3 linked regions of the Xenopus tropicalis genome follow. The protein of the gene in region 1 binds, or shares a complex with, the protein of each later gene. Links are inferred from orthologs where the notes say so. Each region holds a gene or a part of one and is shown in the gene's direction. Other genes may lie near its edges.

Region 1 (6,282 bases):
CTTGGGCAAAGAGCCACTTGCTCTTGCTGTGTCAGGCATTTTCAATATACATCAACAGAAAGTGTATTGGGTGGTTTGTAGAGGTGTGTAAAAATTGTGGGGTTTCCCGTCTCCCGGGCTCCAGTTTCCATGGTCCTATCTTTAATATCCTCATGTCTGCCCACCCTGCTCCCCTTTCTGACATCAGAAATGGGCAGGTCAGGTATATATACAGTAGCGGTACAGCGAGCTGGGCCAGGACTAAACGGATCAGGTTTGGACTGGCACAGCTCAAGGAATTGTTGATCCACATATGATTAGTGGTTCATCCATGCTCCACCAAGTGGTTCATCCATGCTCCACCAAATGGCAACCAGCAGGAGACATAGGAGGAAAAGCTCTAGTATATTATAAGAAGATAACAACTGAATAGCGAATACAGTAGCTGCCTCAAAGAACATGCCTGACTGTTTCTGAAAGCACAGTTTCATGCAAAATAACCAGAGATGGCTGCCCACACACCATTATTAAAACTAAAAATAAACATTAGTTTGTTTGAAAATAAATTTAAAAGGTAAAATGAATTATTTGCAAGAAAAACAGTGTAATATAGTATTAAAAGCTATGCCATCAAAATCATGACAATATCCCTTTAATGCACATTCTAATAAGTGCCTACGGCCCCTTATAATAACCAATTGTTATCTAAGTGAATAAATATGTGTAAAGAGCATATTTGAAACAGTTAATGAATGAGAACCCTTTTAGAAATAACATATTACTATAAACAAAAGTTATATACTGAGGTTTTGGAGCCATAGTTCATGCACAGTTAAGGCTGCTCTCTCCTCTCTGCAGTGGGAGCCAGCTAAAAACCAGGCTGCAAAGAGTAACATCAGTGTGAGGTGCAATGTGTCTTGGTTTCCAAATAGCTCCTGCTGCAGAAAGTAAAGAGCTTGACTTTCGACCACCCTTATTTCTCCATGATTGGAGATCAGACTGTCAGATGCAGCAGGGACAAAGAATTAAACACAATTGTTGAAATAAAAGTTTTACCCCTTACAGCATTATTGTAAAATTGGTGCTTGTCTAGAACATGCATATCTGTGGTGCTGTTCCTGTTTGTAATTCAAAGTTTACAACCTAGTTATTATGTACGTTAATTCCGGCAACATGTAAATTGCAAGCAGACAACATCATACACCTTTAGCTGGATACATGTATAGAACAGACATGCTGAGGCGTCAGTCTCCTGTGCTTGTGCTGAAGACGTATTTTACTCAGATGAACTGGGTAAAGGTCATTGCTTCAACTAGTTAATAAATAAATCATTGATTGCAAGCTTCCCACCCTCAAGGCAATATAGATTTGGTTAATGAACCATGATATAATATATAATACACTCATAAAACACACACGGTGTGGTTCATCTTTTCTGCCCTCCTATTACGTTTCAAGTGAAATTACATTTCTACAAAGAAACTGATGCAAACATTTAATACATTGTATTCAACATTATATAATAGACTTAGACTGTAAGCTCTTCGGGGCAGGGACCTCCTACCTACTGTGTCTCATACCACATGGTACTTATTCCCTGTGCATTTATATATATTTATTGTATTTATTTATTATAACATTTGTCCTCACTGTGTGTAATTTTGTATTTTGTAAGATTTTACAGCGCTGCGTACCCTTGTGGTGCTTTATAAATAAAGTTATACATATATACATATAATATCATAATGCTGATTGGAATCATAATAATTATCAACTTTTGTTAAAAAATATAAAAGATATTTTGTTTTGTATTTAGGGACACATTTTATAATGGGGAAAATAGAGTTCACACTTTGCAAGGAAGAAACTCTATAGCTTTCTGTCCACTTGTATAGGATTTTAAGGGGCATATTTATCAACTGATGAAGCGGATGAAAATAGAGTTTAATATTTGACAAATATGCCCCTAAAATTATATAGAAATGAATACTGAGCTCTTGTGGACCATGTCGATTGACAAATATATTTGATAAATATGCCCTGTATTTCTAAAACACTGAATCCTGTGAAGTTTCTTGAGAATGCTGCTGACCTGAGAGGAAGGGAAGGCTTTTATAAAGGGACTGGGCTCAGTGCTAAAAGATAAACACCTTTCAGTGCTTTGTATGCAAAGTAGCTAGAAGCGGTAACCGTAGCAGTGGTAGTCCAGAATAAAAACTGATATGTCAAATACCATGTCCAGTGTAATGGTGCATGCAGTGTAAAACACATTTTTCTAGAAAATCTTACCCTGCAGATTTATAACTTTCAGAGCTGCAATAATTTAAACTAGAAAAGCTCTAGGGAATTACTTTTCGTTCAAGTTATAATTAGGCAAATTAGATGCGAAAAAAAAAAGGTTATTTGCAGAACGGTGACCAAAGTCCAGTCATAAAGAGAAGTCATTCCTCCCAACAGTTCTTGCTCCGCAAATTCTCAATCCAGCAACACACCTAGAAGGTAAGCATTTCTTAATAGCAAGGTTTATAGGGATGAACTTTTTATCTTCAAATTTTGTTTCAAGTAGTAAAAATAAAAAATAGGACTGAATTTCGTTACTGAGCTATTTGAAACATTTGGTTTTAGCTTGTTTCTGTACTGTTATAGATCATGGCAGATTAGTACCAAATGGCTGATAAAAGATCAGAATGTTAGTCTTATGTCACACAGGGCAGTTCCTTTATTGGTGTATTTCATCTGGCAGTGACTGACCCTCCCGGCATCCATAGACTTCATTGGGAAACAGTCACTAGCTCATCTTCTCGCTGCAAAGCTTCCATGCTGGCACTAGAATTTCAAGGCAGTGGGAAAAGGCAGGGGCGGTGTCAGACTCATCAGGATGTGCCGGTGGAGAAAACACACCAAGTACTAGCATTAGTTAATGGATAATTACATAAATCACTTGGTCATTTGTACGCTTATCTGAAGGTATTTCTTTACCACATCAATGTTTAATATATTAAAATGTAATTGTCACTTTATATGTATATATATATATATATGTATATAAGTTTTCATTTTAAGTTAGCTTATTACTTATGGATACCATGACACAAGGGCACATCTGGGCCTGCCATTGCCTTAAGCATATTTATCAAAATGTATATATCTATCTTGTTTTTTCTTGACTGATCTCAATTATGAGAAACATTTGTAGAATTTTTTTTGTGAATTTCTAGAATGTGAAAATATATCTCACACCGTACAAGGCTTCCATGGACAAAAAAAAGCCTTGGCAAAAATAATGGCTAAAATGTAAAAATCTTGGTCTGTGGGAGAGTGAACTTAAATAAATCATCCCTTTAATGCGATGAATACAGTACAGTGTAGTGTTAGTAAATAAAAATGTAGACATTGTCTTCATTGATGATTAGTAATTTACCTGTATATTTGTTTATTTTAAGCAGTACCTAAGTATTATGTAGTTTGAGGAGACCCAAACAAGGCACACTGCTTGAAATTTACTTTTTATAATAAAAATAATAGAAGCCATGCTTTAGGGTTGCACAGTCTTTTTTCAGTAATGTTGCTTATTCTCCCCTTATTTCCCCACAAAGATTATAGATACATAAGCAAAGTAAACCTTTGGGCCAGGGCATTTATCAAACCTGATACATGTCAGTTGGTTAGAATGTGTTTCACTGCTTCGAGCAGGCAAACACTGTTTTGCTCTATTGGGTGAAAGTATTCAGGGCAGTTTAGTAATACCTCTGGGCACTATCACTTTTTCCCTGATGCAAATCATAAGTGTGGAGTTTGGAATGAAAGCATGAAGGACTGAATTATATCAAAGTGCAAGGAGCACCATGTGATGCAAGTACCTTTAATGACTGCACTTGCAGTCGTACATGAACCATAGTTTTGCCAAGCAGTTAACTATAGATTTTTGTAGTCCAGGCATTTTGCCCTCCTAAAAACCATAACAATTTTTCTAGGCAGCTACAAGCTTTTAGCAGTTCAGTGCAGAGTATTTCATGGGATTTAGACAACATTCTCAAAAGTAGGCAAGGTTTCAGTTATAAAATACATTATGTCACATTTTGAACTAAGCAAAAGGACAGTAAACACAGAGTATAGTAAAATGTTGGGCTTCTAATTTGTGATTTATGGCATTACTGACCCCTGTCCCCAATCTTGTAGCTAATAAGGAATACTAATAATAATGCTACAAATTATCATTATCTTTAAATATGGCCCCTTTATTGAAGCTACCCATCGATTTGTTACGATCCCTGTCCATGTTTTATTGAGGGGTGGGCATGTCCCAGTAGTTCCTGCCAGAAGCTCAGTAGAAGGAGGATAGCCAATCACAGCCCTGAAGTCACCCAAGCAAAGCTAGGCTTCAGTTCCCTATCAGGTCTTCCTAGCTGCTTATTGGTTGCTATCCTACAGCGCTAAGTGCCACCTGTAGTGTTGTTCTAACTGCTGCACAGCCTGGAAAAGGAGGCAGCAGGAAGTGGAACAGATGGTTGGGACTAGTAGGGTTTTTGGAGACTTTTGGACTATAATAAATAACCATAAAAGGCAGCTTTTTAAGGCACATTCTTGTTTTTTACACAACACGTCCCCTTTAAGGTGGTGTTTTAGAGAAATAGGCAGCATAACACATGAACAAAATGTTTGAAAACTGCAGGTAAATACAGGTCATTAGATATAAGCTGAGAATTTAAAACACAGCTTCCTTGTCCTTAGCTGTAAGGGAGGGGGAAAAGCAAGTGTATAGATAATGGAATCTTGCAAGATTGCAGAATCCATAATAAATATTTTAAGGCAACATCTTAGGGCTTATGATTGCAACAGCAGCAGTGACTTCAAGAAATAAGGTACAGTCATTGCACTATATCGGCACCATTCATAAAAGGTACTTGCTGCTCCTTGCGTTTCACCTCTGAGAGCTGAATGTCCATTTGTGCACAAGTGTGCCTATTGATGTAAAGGCTCCAGGCTTCCCACAGCAGCCCGCCTCTATAGACACAGCAAAGCTGCGCCTAATGAATCAAGTTAAGACATCATTCAGAAACAACATTGCTATGACAGAAAATATTTTAATAGATTTACATTGACATGCACATGCAATTGTGCATTTTTTCCTGAAATTGTACTTTGCACTCTCCTCTTGTGCACATAAATGAGCTGTAAATTTAAGCCATCAATTAATAGAATATATGGTGGTAAACAGGATCACTTGCCATAGAACAGTCAAGATTTATGTGTAATGTCTAGTGACCCTGTTCCACCCTGAATTACTGGGGCCAAAGTGCAAGAAAGATTAATTTTGTGCTGTTTTTCTGTTATTATATGTTATTATTAAATTGTAAGATACTATGGCAATTACCACTTAACCTCGTATACACTTCCAATATCAGATTTCCTAAAAACAACTACTAGAGAGACATAATACTCTAATAATTTTTTTTTTTTTTAAAGGTGACAAGAAGAAAAAACCCTGATGAGCAATGGTTATCCTGCGGCAGGTAGGATGGGTGCTAACTTTTCTTTACTAGTTGAATCTTTATATCATACTGTAGGAGGGGGACTGAAATAATTTCCTCTGCTCCTCCAGTAAGTTATTAGATTAAGTTAATAAAGAGTTCATAAAGAGTTAATAAAGAGTTCACGCTCCATGTGTAAAAGAATGAACCTCCATTCCATCTTTTCCCTTTCTGCTTTAATGAGGAGTTTTTTTCTTCCAAATCTTGTGTTTAGACACCCAATAGGGTTTTTTTCAGGCTTGAAAATTGTAGCCAATATCCAAGCCACTTCTGGGCTCTTCTGCTCTAACTGGGGAACAGTGTGTATTTCTGACAGTGTGTATAGTTCTGACAGGCTACAAGACACTGTAGGGTTGATTCACTAAAGTGCGTTAAAACGTGCGCTATTTATAGCATGCGTTAAAATTTTTATTGCGTCTAATTTTTTGTGTCTTAACGCACGGTTCACTAAAAGGATATTTGCGTTAATTTAGACGCGATGCTGCTTGCGTTATTTAAGTCGTGAAGACTATTTTCGTGCGATATTTGACGGAACGCATCGTGCACAAATAGTCGCCGCCTGCGAAAAAATGCACGCCATATTAGCCATACACGGCATTACTTTTGTAAAACTACTTTTATGAAAATGACCATTTCCCTGCAAACTGGAGGCTGCAGCACTCTGGGGCCAACACAGACTTGAATAAATCCCACTGCAAAGTCCATATGACTTGAGCCAAAAGCTCATTAACTGTATTTTTCTATAATTACTGCCTGCTTCAAGTAGGTGTTC
Region 2 (5,655 bases), on another chromosome or scaffold:
TTGTATTTCTTTTCTTTTGTTCCCAGGATTCCTTTTGTAGAAAAATGATGTGGATTCAGCTTCTGTTGCCATTAGTATTCATGGTGACAGGTGAGATATCTGCCCACCTCTAACACTAAATATATATTTTATTCCTTAAGTCACTTGCTGGCCATTTCCACTGCTATTAAAATTGCATTTGTTGTGTGTATTTTTTAAGTCATTTTTAGATTCTGCAAAGTACCATATCTAAGCAAATCCTATTTTCATAAGCAGCCATTACTCTCGCACCATTAATTTAGCTTGTGATTGGTCAGCTGTTAGGACAACAACCTAGTAATACACACACAGTGATATTATGCCTAAAACACACATTTTTTTCCCAGTTTCTTCTCAGAATACAGCTCCTGAGTTTGCATCAAATATGACTTCTGCCTTCATACCAGAAGATACTCCTTTGGGTGAGTGTTTAACAAAGCTATATTAATTAACACAATATTAATTTGTTTTTATAAAATTCCCTCTGCTCTGAGATCTGTGAGTGAAGAGGGGGGCAACTGTAATTGTTTTTGTTTCTGTTGCCACTTGCCCCCGTACAGCTTTCATAACCATGCACATATATTAGTATATCCTGTTACACAGTTGGACTCTCAGTGATGTCATTATATAGACTGGTTAATTGCCATGTTGTATTTTTTTCCATTAGGTAAGTGTGTCTTCTGGATTGTGGCAAGAGATGCAGATAATGATCCTTTGACATATAGTATGGAAGGACAAGACTCCTATTATTTTAATGTCAATCTGATGACTGGGGAGGTGCAGTTAGCACTTCCCTTAGATTATGAGGTAGGCTTTCAGTACTTAGTACAACTTCTAAGAAAAATATTATCCCAGATTTTACAATGTACCAGTTCATGGCACTGTACCTTTAGGTTGTCAGCTATTGGCTTTCAGTGAAGCTTCAGTCCTAACTATTGGGAATGTTCTGGGGCTCCAAAGTGATGCACAAAGTGCCTTCACCTGCAATCTCTAGTTAACACAATGTTTGTATATGATTTATAGGGAATATACCTGCATTGCAGGTACTGTCCACATGAAACATTTTATTTACAAATTAATCCAAATATTTATACCTTATTTATCATATGTTCCCTACTATCTTGTGCAAGCTCCCTAATAGAAATATAGATAGATCTCTCTTGAATGAAATACCTTTACAAATAATAAATTTAAACTTGGAAGACCTCCACAATGAAAGTAAGAGTACTTAATTATTATTTGGACTTGATTAAACCTAATAAAATAGGAAGTATATTTCTAAAGGTATGGGAATCTTGGGTCACTGATAATCCTAAACAGGGTAGATGTGTCACATTATTTTATTCATCCTTAATTTTGTGTCGGACGATAAGTTTATTTGCCCCAATTAAAGGAGACCTGTTTTCCAGCCATAAAAAACAGTAAAATAAAAGCCCTTTTCAAATTAAACATGAAACCCAAATTATTTTTTAATTTAAACATCCATACCTGTTATACAGTCATTTAAAAATATCATCTGCCAATCATATATTGCCTGCCCTGCCTCTTTGTCCTGGGCACAGCAATTACTTTCATTTTCATTTCTGCACTTCCTAGATGTCACTACAGTCTTCACATGCCTTTTCTCTGACTGTTATATTCACAAAAGTCGTAAAGTTGTAAGTGCAGGTATAAATGATCTAACATACATATTTTATTTTTTAAGAGCAAAAACAAACTCAACACTATGATCAAGGTGCAAGATGAAATCAATAGGCCAGTAAGTATGTCATACAAGATCCTATTCCTGGTTTCTTTATTTGCATCTGCAAATTTTTTTTTTTGGGCTGTGGAAATTAGTTTTGTCTTTGCAATAAATGTTTTTTACCTTGGCTTTTTCCCCCATAGGTTATCAGACAATTTCCAGTTATAGTAGAGGATCGCAATGATAATGATCCGGTGTTCTTAGGTATTCCTTATGAAGCCAGTATCCGGGAGGTATGTTCACACATAGTGCCAGTCCCATCTGTTTTCTATGAAACTTCTTTTTTTTATTCTGTTTTCTTTTTTCTTTATTAACATAAAGAAAGGGAGAAAAAAAACAATATAGGGGCAGTGTATATCTTTTTCCAACATGCGTTCAATGAATAGGGCTTGTGCTGAACTTATTTTCTGCCCATTAGTTTAATCACAATAAATCCATGTTTTTTTGTTATTTTCTGGAAAAACAAGCAAGAGAAAGACAGGGAGAAAAAGAGGGGGGGGGGGGGTGAGGCTAAGGTAGCAGTTATGGGTGTACAGGATTAATAGTTATGGCGTTAAATTTCTGTGGGCACCCTCTTGCTAGATAAGTCAGTCTGGCTGGGAAGAAAATCATCCACCAATTTTCGCAACTGCAAATAGCACAGTCTAGAGCAGGGGTGTCAAACTCAATCACATAAGGGGGCCAAAATCTAAAACACAGGCTAAGTCGCGGGCCAAATTTTTTATTAATATACTTAGTAAGATACTATGGGGTATATTTATCACAATGTGTAAAAAGTGGAGTAAGACATTACTGGTGATGTTGCTTATGGCAGCCAATCAGATGCTTTGCTACTGTTGAAATCTGATTACTGATTGGTTGCCTTGGGCAACATTACTGGTAATCCTTCACTCCACTTTTTACACAGCATGATAAATATACCCCTTAGTCTTAGTTACTATGTGAGGAAAATGGAAATTGATCAGGCTTGATGGTCAGGGCCACATAAAACAGCCAGGTGGGCCAGATTCGGCCGCGGGCCTTGTGTTTGACATATATGGTCTAGAGTAAGAACGGAGTTACAAGTTTCCAGTCAGTCCTAGCAGACACAGTTCTGGAGAGCGAATATTTGGGAAGGCAAGCTTCTCATTAAGAAACAGTAGCACACCCCACTCACCCTATCCCTCCAATCCTATCCCACTTACCCTATCACCCTTTCTACTCAGTCAACCACAGCCCGCTAGAAATGAGAAATAATCGCGAAAACAAAAGGAAAAAAGAAGCACAAAGTCAATATGTTATCAGTGTTGAAGACTTTATTGTATAAAAGTTAGAAAAGCTGTCTAAATGTTTGACAAATAAGTTGATTGTTCTATTTCTTCAATTATAAAAATCAATAAAAACTTTAAAATTAAAAAAAAGAAAGAAACGGTAACACTTCACCCCAGAATCTCTGTATCACTGGACAGGACCATAAAACATGAAACAGTGCCTACTTCGCTTCTGCACTTGGGACATTGGACACATTTTTATAGATAGATTTTGGCCAGGCGGTAGGGGGTTAAGTATTCTCTATTTAAAAATTTTATCTGAATATATATATCCCTCATCAGACCCCTCTCATCATCAAGCGCAGGGATATCACAGCCATTTGATCTTGGTTTTCTGTAAAGGGGAAGAGTCTGAGGGAGACAGTATCATGTAAAACCAAGAAAGGGTTTTGTCAGGTCCTGTCTGTGGAGACAGGACTTCAGGGTTGTTTGAGCTACCCTAAAAGGCCTTGCAGGAAATTGGATATTGAAGGCATGGCATAGCTGCAGGAATCTATAAAGCATGTTAGAGGGGGATGCACCTCTTGTCACAGTAGGTCATATGTTGGGCCAGCTTCTGTGATTTCTGGAAGGCCCAAACTACTGTAGCCATGGAGGGTGTAGTGGCATAGAAAGAGAAGATTAGACATGGCCTCATATGAACCTAATGTAGCAGCCTCTAGGACCACTGCAGGATTATTAATGTTGGGGTCCTCCAGAGGAAGGTGCCTGCAATACATTGATATTCAGACGTGAAAGGTCTCCTGCCCACAAAAATCCCCTAATTATTTTATCCACTCCACTAAACCATTGCACTCAGGGAGTAATAGGGGAATTGTGTAGGGCGGATAAGAACTTGGGGAGAAAAATAATTTTTGAAAATATGGATTCTGCCAGGGAGGGAGAAAGGCAGGTCTTGCCATATGGAAACAAGCTTGTACCACTGGATTTATGTTTAATTGTTCATATCTATTTAGGTCCTTATGTACACTAATACCAGGGTATTGAATGAGGTCACAACTTGTAGTTGTGCTATGTGGTCAGGAGTTTCTGGGGGTAGGGGGTCTATAGAGAATATAATCGACTTAGAGTGGTTTTGTGAGGCTTAGTTAGGATCAAGTACAAGGTACTGTTTTACTATTACCACAATACAAACCCCTCTTGTCACCATTTTTGTGACTGTTTTGTTAGCAGAAGTCCAATATGTATGGGTATTATCTGTTCACTTGTGATCTAATTATCTACTTCTCAAGGACCATACACTGAGTAGCTTCAGTTTTCTCTGTGTTGCCCTGTTTATCAAAAGACAAAAACCATAGATGTTTTGATTAAACAGGCAAAAATATGTTTAGCACAAGCCCTATTCATTGCAGTTATTCTAAATATTGGAGTATACTGGCCCTTTAATAACAACAATAAAACATGATTTCATCTGTCATTTAAATAAATAGATAGATAGATAGATAGATAGATAGATAGATAGATAGATAGAACATTAACCATAATTATTATATCTAAAGTTTACTTCTATTACTGCATCCTCAATAGCAGCAGATTGTAAGATTTTCATAAGTGTACCAGGACTCCACTTGATGCACCCTAGCACAATTACCTGTAGATTACAATGGATATAGAGACAGATATAGAAACATAGATCAATAAATAGAGAGAGAGAGAGATAAATAGGTAATGGATAGACAGAGAAGCAAACAGATTGAAGAACAGAATTGCTACAAATATACACGCATGATTCTCTCAAATTCATTTGTGATCAGGAATTATTCACAGTATGTTCCTTGACAGGATCAGCCATTGGGCTCCATTGTTTTTAGTGTCAGTGCAGTAGATTTTGATGATGATGGAAGAGTTCCAGTGACATATTCCATTGATGAGGTAAGATAATGAGTAGTAAAACGTTTGACTAAGATGTACTATGTACTATGACCAGGCAATTTATTGTATTTGCATAAACAAACTTAATTTGAAATTACTGGTTCTTAAACTTCAGACAGGTATTACCGTAATATTAACTTTGAGACAGGTATATTCTAGGAATGTGTTCAATTGATCTTAATTATTTATGACCTTTTGTTTTTGGAACCATTTGCTTTTCTATTCTTCCTCTCTAAAACCTGAAATGTAGTATGTAGGCTTAATTTTTTTCTATAATACTTTTATCACTGATCTTTCTATTGAAACCTCTACTATTTTTCTTCCTGTCTGGCATTCTAAACAAGCCACTTTGCTAGGATTAGTGAAACCCTAGTAACCAGATTATATTAAAATGATGATGTGATACAGTGAAGCCCTAGATCAGTTTGGGGGCCATAAAAATGATTTGGAGGGCCACACCCTACCCACGGGCCCCCAGTTGGACTGGGATATCAGTGCTGCAATGGTATTTTATAATGCAAGATTGGTGACACACATCATTCTACACTGCAGAAAATTAGTATAGGAGTAATAAATGTCCCCCTTGAGCATTCATTTTGGTTCCATAGGCAGGAATCAAGTTTAGGCCCAAATAATTTAGTTGGCGGGTGGTCAAGGGGTAATACACATCTTTGTTGCAAATAAGTCAATGGTTTATACTGAGTGTTTTAA
Region 3 (5,655 bases), on another chromosome or scaffold:
TACTCTACTGGGAAGAGAATTAGTAAGGTTGTGCACCGATGTTGGGTGAGGGGGCCGGGCTCATAGTTTATATTCCAGTTCATCTCACAGCTTATGCAGCATGTTCAGTTGGGCTGATGTCCAGGCTCTGTGCAGGGCCATCAAGTTCCTCCACTCCCATCTCTGCAACCCAATTCTGTATGGACCTTACTATGTGCATGCGTGGTATTGTTTGGCAGGAACACAAAGGGCCTTCATTACTTTTTGCCGCAAAGTAAAAAGCACAACATTGTTAAAAATATGATGTAGTGCCAGCAATGATGGCTGTGGCTTAAATATCCCTTTACAATAAATAGAAGGTATTTCCAAATACTTTTGCCCATGTGGTGTATATAAAGACATATTCACAGATTTGAGGGCTTTAATCCAACCAAAATTATGACATCACGAAAATATTATTCTCAGGTTGGTTGGGGGGCTATATCATTTCCTTGAAAGGTTGTGTTTGGCCCGTATACCTTCAGCTGTGTAATCCTGAGATTTAAAGTATTAAAAAGCACAAAGAATGAGCAGAGCAGTTAGACTGTTGTTGCCCTGATTTAGAAAACATATTTATATATTTTTTTTATGTATCCCTAGGGAATGATGCAGGAATATTTGCCGTGGATAAATTTAGTGGAAATATAACAATGACTAAAGCAGCAGATACTTTGGGGATAATATTTTTGCAGATTATGGTAAGTAGTAAGTTTCTCTGCTTGCCCATGAGTTTGAGCTTATGTCAAAAAGGAAGAGGGTATATTTTATACCTATTGGCCTTAATATATTTCTTCTTGCCACCAAACCACCTAACCTCAAGGAGAAATTCTCAAGGAGAACATTGCATATGTCAAACCACAGCTTTATTATTTTATTGACTATAAAAAGAGAGCATACCCTTTTTATGATAATATATTGCTTTTCTGCTTTAATAAAACACTGATATAAAAATAAAGTCTCTCTAGATGGCAATAAGAATCTCAAAGTTTCTCACTCCAGCAATATACTAACAGCCTAATTCATTAGCCCACGAATACATGAATAAATAAATGAATTGATAAATGTGTGACTCAAAGAATAACTATATGGGCCAATCAAGGCCTCATACCCTTCTTCACCAAATACACTGATAACTTAGCAACTTTGGAACTTCAAAGTGTGACTAAATATCCCTTATTAAGGCTTTTACTATTACAATTAATTGACAACCAGTACATAAGTATACATAAAAACAATGTCCCTACAATGCACAAAATTAACCCACTTCAACTGAGTATAAAAAAAGTATGTAAAAGTGTCACTTAATCTGTAAGCATATAAAGGCAGTATTATTCAATCACCATATAAATATATATTTGTAATGTATAGTTTTCAAGCCACAGACCAGGATCAGCACTGCTAAAGCTCTTTCTCCTCTGCTCTCTGTTCTCTCTTTGGAGGGGATCGGCCACACTCACTTGCATTCTGCCCTAACAGGAAGTTGTTTTTCATTGATCTGATTGGCTAAAACTTCCTAGCCAATTGTATCAAAGATATGGAAAAAAAGGGGAGGGAAGAACAAGAACCAGTTCAGAGTGAACTTTTTTTTTTATTTTGCTGCCTGCCAAATCCTTGTCTGGGAAGTCCCCTGCAGAGAGAGCACAGAGCAGATCAGTGAGAATTTTAGCAGTGCTGATCCAAAGCTTATATGGTCTGTAGGTTCAAAACTAAACATTTAAAATAATAAAGATGATTTGCAAAAATGTTTTTTTCCCACAGGGGCTGTTCAAATCCAGACTGTTGTCTGAAGATGAACATCCTCTTTAATCCAGCCACTTTGATCCAGACTTAAAAGCAGTTTCTGGGGTCCCCTGCTGGCTATCATTGGTGCATGCTGTGTAGCAAAAGAAAGTTCTTATGTATTACACTGCCAAAATGAATATACAGCCTGGACAAGCAGATTGCAGCCTCACTAGGGTAAAAGGTAGCTCTCCCAGGGTCGGACTGGGGGGTTCAGGGCCCAACGGGGCTCCTGTTAAAGGGGTGCCCTGGCCTGGCCCCACAACCCCTACCCCGGGGGCCCCTGCCGCCCGCACAACTCCCTCCTCCGAGTTCACCTGCTTTTAATATTACCTTAGGGAGATCTTCTGGTGGGGGAGCGCCATGGGGATCGGGTCTGGGCCAGCGGGCCCACCGTGTTTTTTCCCGGTGCCCCGCTGGCCCAGTCCAACCCTGAGCTCTCCTGTATGTGGGCTTGGTTAACTCATCAATGGAATGTTCATTTCCTTAGTAATTTGTTGGTCTTTTGCCACTTCTGTCTCACTCAGGCTGCCCAAGTTAATGATGGACAGAAATTTGCAACTACTTCATTGACAATTGATGTTGTGGAAAGAAACCACCACCCTCCAAAGTTTGAAAAGCAAAATTATTTTGGAACAATCCAGGTTCAGTCTGCCACTGGCACATCTGTTACCGATTCCAGTAGCCCCAACAGACTCCTACAAGTGTTTGCTGCAGATGAAGATTTTGAAGATGTAGGTTACTGGTATATCAGCTAGTTTTCCTTGCAGCAGGGGAGACAGGCTTTATCATTTTTAATATTTCTTTTTTTACATATTTCCCTTACAGTTATTATGTAGCTATATTTAGAGCAGGGAACGCTCAACTTTTTTACCCGTGAGTCACACTCAGCAGTAAAAAGTGTTGGTGAGCCACACAACCATGAAAACAGCTCTTTGGGGATTTCAAATAAGGACTGTGATTGGCTATTTGGTAGCCCCATGTGGAGTGCTAGCCTGCAGGAGGCTCTGCTTGGAGTAAAACAATTTGAAGATGAAATCCATCCAGACCTAACTTTATACATACAGGCATTGTAACAATAGCAAATACTGGCCATGCGTAATGGGAGTCAGTTCTTCCTAATACTGGGACTTACAGATTGGCTGGACGGGAAACATAGCAACTTTGGATGTGTGACCACTGGTCTGGGGTCTCTAAACAAGCTTGAAAAGGTGGAAACAGATTCTCATGACTGGCCACTTGATGTTCAAATATTGCAGGCTTGTCCTTATTGGACACTTTTTATCTCAAAACCATGACTTCAAAGGTTGAAATTCTCTTTTGCGTGATATTTCGTACATCATATTGTTGTGTCCATTTTGATGCACAGTTCAAATTGATAATGTCATGGGAAAACATGTTTTTTTCCAAAACCCATCAGTTAATAGAGCTTCTCCTGCAGAATCCTGCATTGAAATCTGTTATTCAACAACACAAACAGAATTTTTTATATTTAATTTTGAAATTTCACATGAGACTAGCAATATCCTTCATTTCCCAGGGTGCCACAGTCATGTGACTTGTGCTCTGATAAACTTCAGTCACACTTTACTGCTGAGCTGCAAGTTGGAGTGATAACCCCCTCCCAGCAGCCAATCAGCAGAACAATGGGAAGGGAGCAAGATAGCAGTTCCCAGCAGGTTTTAGAATAGCACTCAATAGTAAGAAATCCAAGTCTGGCTTGGGACTCCTCCAGTTACATGGGAGTAGGAGAAACAATAGGTTAGCTGAAAGCACTGGCTGTAGCGCTGGCTCCCTCTGAAAGCTCAGACTCAGGCACAATGCACTGAGATGGCGCCTACACACCAATATTACAGCTAAAAAAAATACATTTGTTGGTTCAAGAAAGTGAATTATGAGCTATGTAAACAGTGTCATTTATAAATAAAAAATACACCATAAAAATCATGACAGTATCCCTTTAAGTTAAGTGCAACTGCTCTGGTCAAATTAACAAGCATACAAAAGAGGAGAACTGATCTGAATGTGAATGTTTGTATTTCAGCGGATGAATCCATATATCACATACACAATTCAAGGCACAACTGATTTCTCAGTGTCCCGGAATGGATTTATAAAAAACGATGCTGTATTTAACTCTCCAACTAAAGTAGCATTTACTGTAAGTATTATCAGTTATTATTATTTGTTCAAGGTTTCATTATTTTCTTTTCTGGTGGAGACTAAATTCTTTTAGGCACATTCGGATGTGTAGTAGTGTGGAATATAAATCTAGGTTCAAGGCCAAAATTTAACTGGAGAACTAGATGATGTTTTTTAAACATGGTTATGTATGAAATCAGCCTGCACAGACACTGCAGGCCTCTCTTATCAATGGTACCAGGACACACAAACTGAAGCACACCAACCTGTACCATTGGAAGGTGCAAGCTGCGCTGTGCGACTTGTACCAGCTCCTGTAATGGAGACATTACCATTACCTATGCATTGCTCACAAGAAAGGAACTACAGTAGGTTCCATATTCTCCATAGAAAGGCTCATTTACCATAAATTCAAGGTACAAAATACAATTAGAAATACTTTCCTAATGGCTGTTGGGCCCAGGTCTTCTAGTTGGAACTTGGGGCCGCTGGATTTCAACAAGGTAAACCAAAAAATAAATTAACTCTTTTTTTCTCACGCAGGTACTGGCAACTGACACCGTGACGAGAGAAGAGGACATCACTAATGTTGAAGTGGAAATCACCCCAAGTATGTTTCTTTCTTGCTTTCCAAAGGGAAGTAATACTGAACAACAAGTCTCCTTTCTACCCACTACACAAAGCTTGCATACATATACACTACTTATACATATATATGAGGTGCCATTTATAGTCTGGATACTTTGTAAGAAAGATGCATTTTGTAAACTTAAAATTCATACCATTTTTGTTAATAAAGTTAATTATGAATTCTTTGAATTCTGTTAGACATGGTAACCCCACTTTTTCCTATCATGTGTATAAGGTGGGCACAACTCCCAAACCACACCATTTGTATATATCCCCTTCATTCACCAGCACCATCTTCCTAAAACAAATACCAGCTTCCCTCTCACACATATTCAGTGACATTTACATCTGCAAACAGTACATGTGTGCCGTAAGGTTCATGCAATGAAGAATGCAGGCTTACACAGGCAGAACTTACTTTGATAAAAAAGTAGGGATGCACCGAATCCAGGATTCGGTTCGGGATTCAGCCAAATCAATGCCTCTGGCCGAACCGAATCTGAAAAATCATGTGACTTTTTGTCACGTAAACACGGAAGTTGAAAATTTTTCCCAGATATGATCCTTCCAAAATCTAATTAGCATATGCCAATTAGGATTTGGTGCAAGAAAATTGTATAGATGGATGAAGCCCGCCAGGACTTCTTTTCAGTAAATACTATTCTTTATTCTTGTATCCATTAAAAACATGTTGATGAACTACACCTCCAGCTTGACGCGTTTCATAGCTTCTCCCCACTTCATCAGAAGTTACAACCGTAGGCGAGAAGCCATGAAACGTGTCAAGCTGGAGGAGTAGTTCATCAACATGTTTTTAGTGGATACAAGAATAAAGAATATTTTTTACTGAAAAGAAGTCCTGGTGTGCTCCATCTATCTATACAATTTTCTTGCATTAAAGCCACGCCTGGATGGGGGGCGAATCTGGATGTGAAAGCTCCCCGTGTACTGTTCTTAATCAATTAGGATTTGGATTTGGTTTGGTATTCGGCTGAATCCTTTATGAAGGGTTGGCCGAATCCAAAAATGTGGATTTGGTGCATCCCTAATAAAAAGTCCTGCTTTGATTGGGCATTTTAATGGTTA

Evidence for each region.
Region 2: myo7b (region 1) and cdhr2 share a complex: the UniProt entries of both Homo sapiens proteins name them as parts of the IMAC/intermicrovillar adhesion complex. The link is inferred for Xenopus tropicalis from reciprocal best matches to the Homo sapiens genes MYO7B and CDHR2.
Region 3: myo7b (region 1) and cdhr5 share a complex: the UniProt entries of both Homo sapiens proteins name them as parts of the IMAC/intermicrovillar adhesion complex. The link is inferred for Xenopus tropicalis from reciprocal best matches to the Homo sapiens genes MYO7B and CDHR5.

Annotation. Positions count from the first base shown.
Region 1 is NC_030681.2:125,545,034-125,551,315, reverse strand, and holds the start of myo7b (unconventional myosin-VIIb), read left to right. Parts: upstream 1-2,418; 5' UTR 2,419-2,478; intron 2,479-5,445; 5' UTR 5,446-5,474; coding exon 5,475-5,492; intron 5,493-6,282. UniProt on the Homo sapiens protein: Myosins are actin-based motor molecules with ATPase activity. Their highly divergent tails are presumed to bind to membranous compartments, which would be moved relative to actin filaments.
Region 2 is NC_030679.2:47,448,222-47,453,876, reverse strand, and holds part of cdhr2 (cadherin-related family member 2), read left to right. Parts: intron 1-26; coding exon 27-90; intron 91-365; coding exon 366-440; intron 441-685; coding exon 686-825; intron 826-1,723; coding exon 1,724-1,777; intron 1,778-1,905; coding exon 1,906-1,995; intron 1,996-4,854; coding exon 4,855-4,944; intron 4,945-5,655. UniProt on the Homo sapiens protein: Intermicrovillar adhesion molecule that forms, via its extracellular domain, calcium-dependent heterophilic complexes with CDHR5 on adjacent microvilli. Thereby, controls the packing of microvilli at the apical membrane of epithelial cells.
Region 3 is NC_030680.2:31,975,054-31,980,708, forward strand, and holds part of cdhr5 (cadherin-related family member 5), read left to right. Parts: intron 1-618; coding exon 619-716; intron 717-2,324; coding exon 2,325-2,531; intron 2,532-3,841; coding exon 3,842-3,958; intron 3,959-4,482; coding exon 4,483-4,549; intron 4,550-5,655. UniProt on the Homo sapiens protein: Intermicrovillar adhesion molecule that forms, via its extracellular domain, calcium-dependent heterophilic complexes with CDHR2 on adjacent microvilli. Thereby, controls the packing of microvilli at the apical membrane of epithelial cells.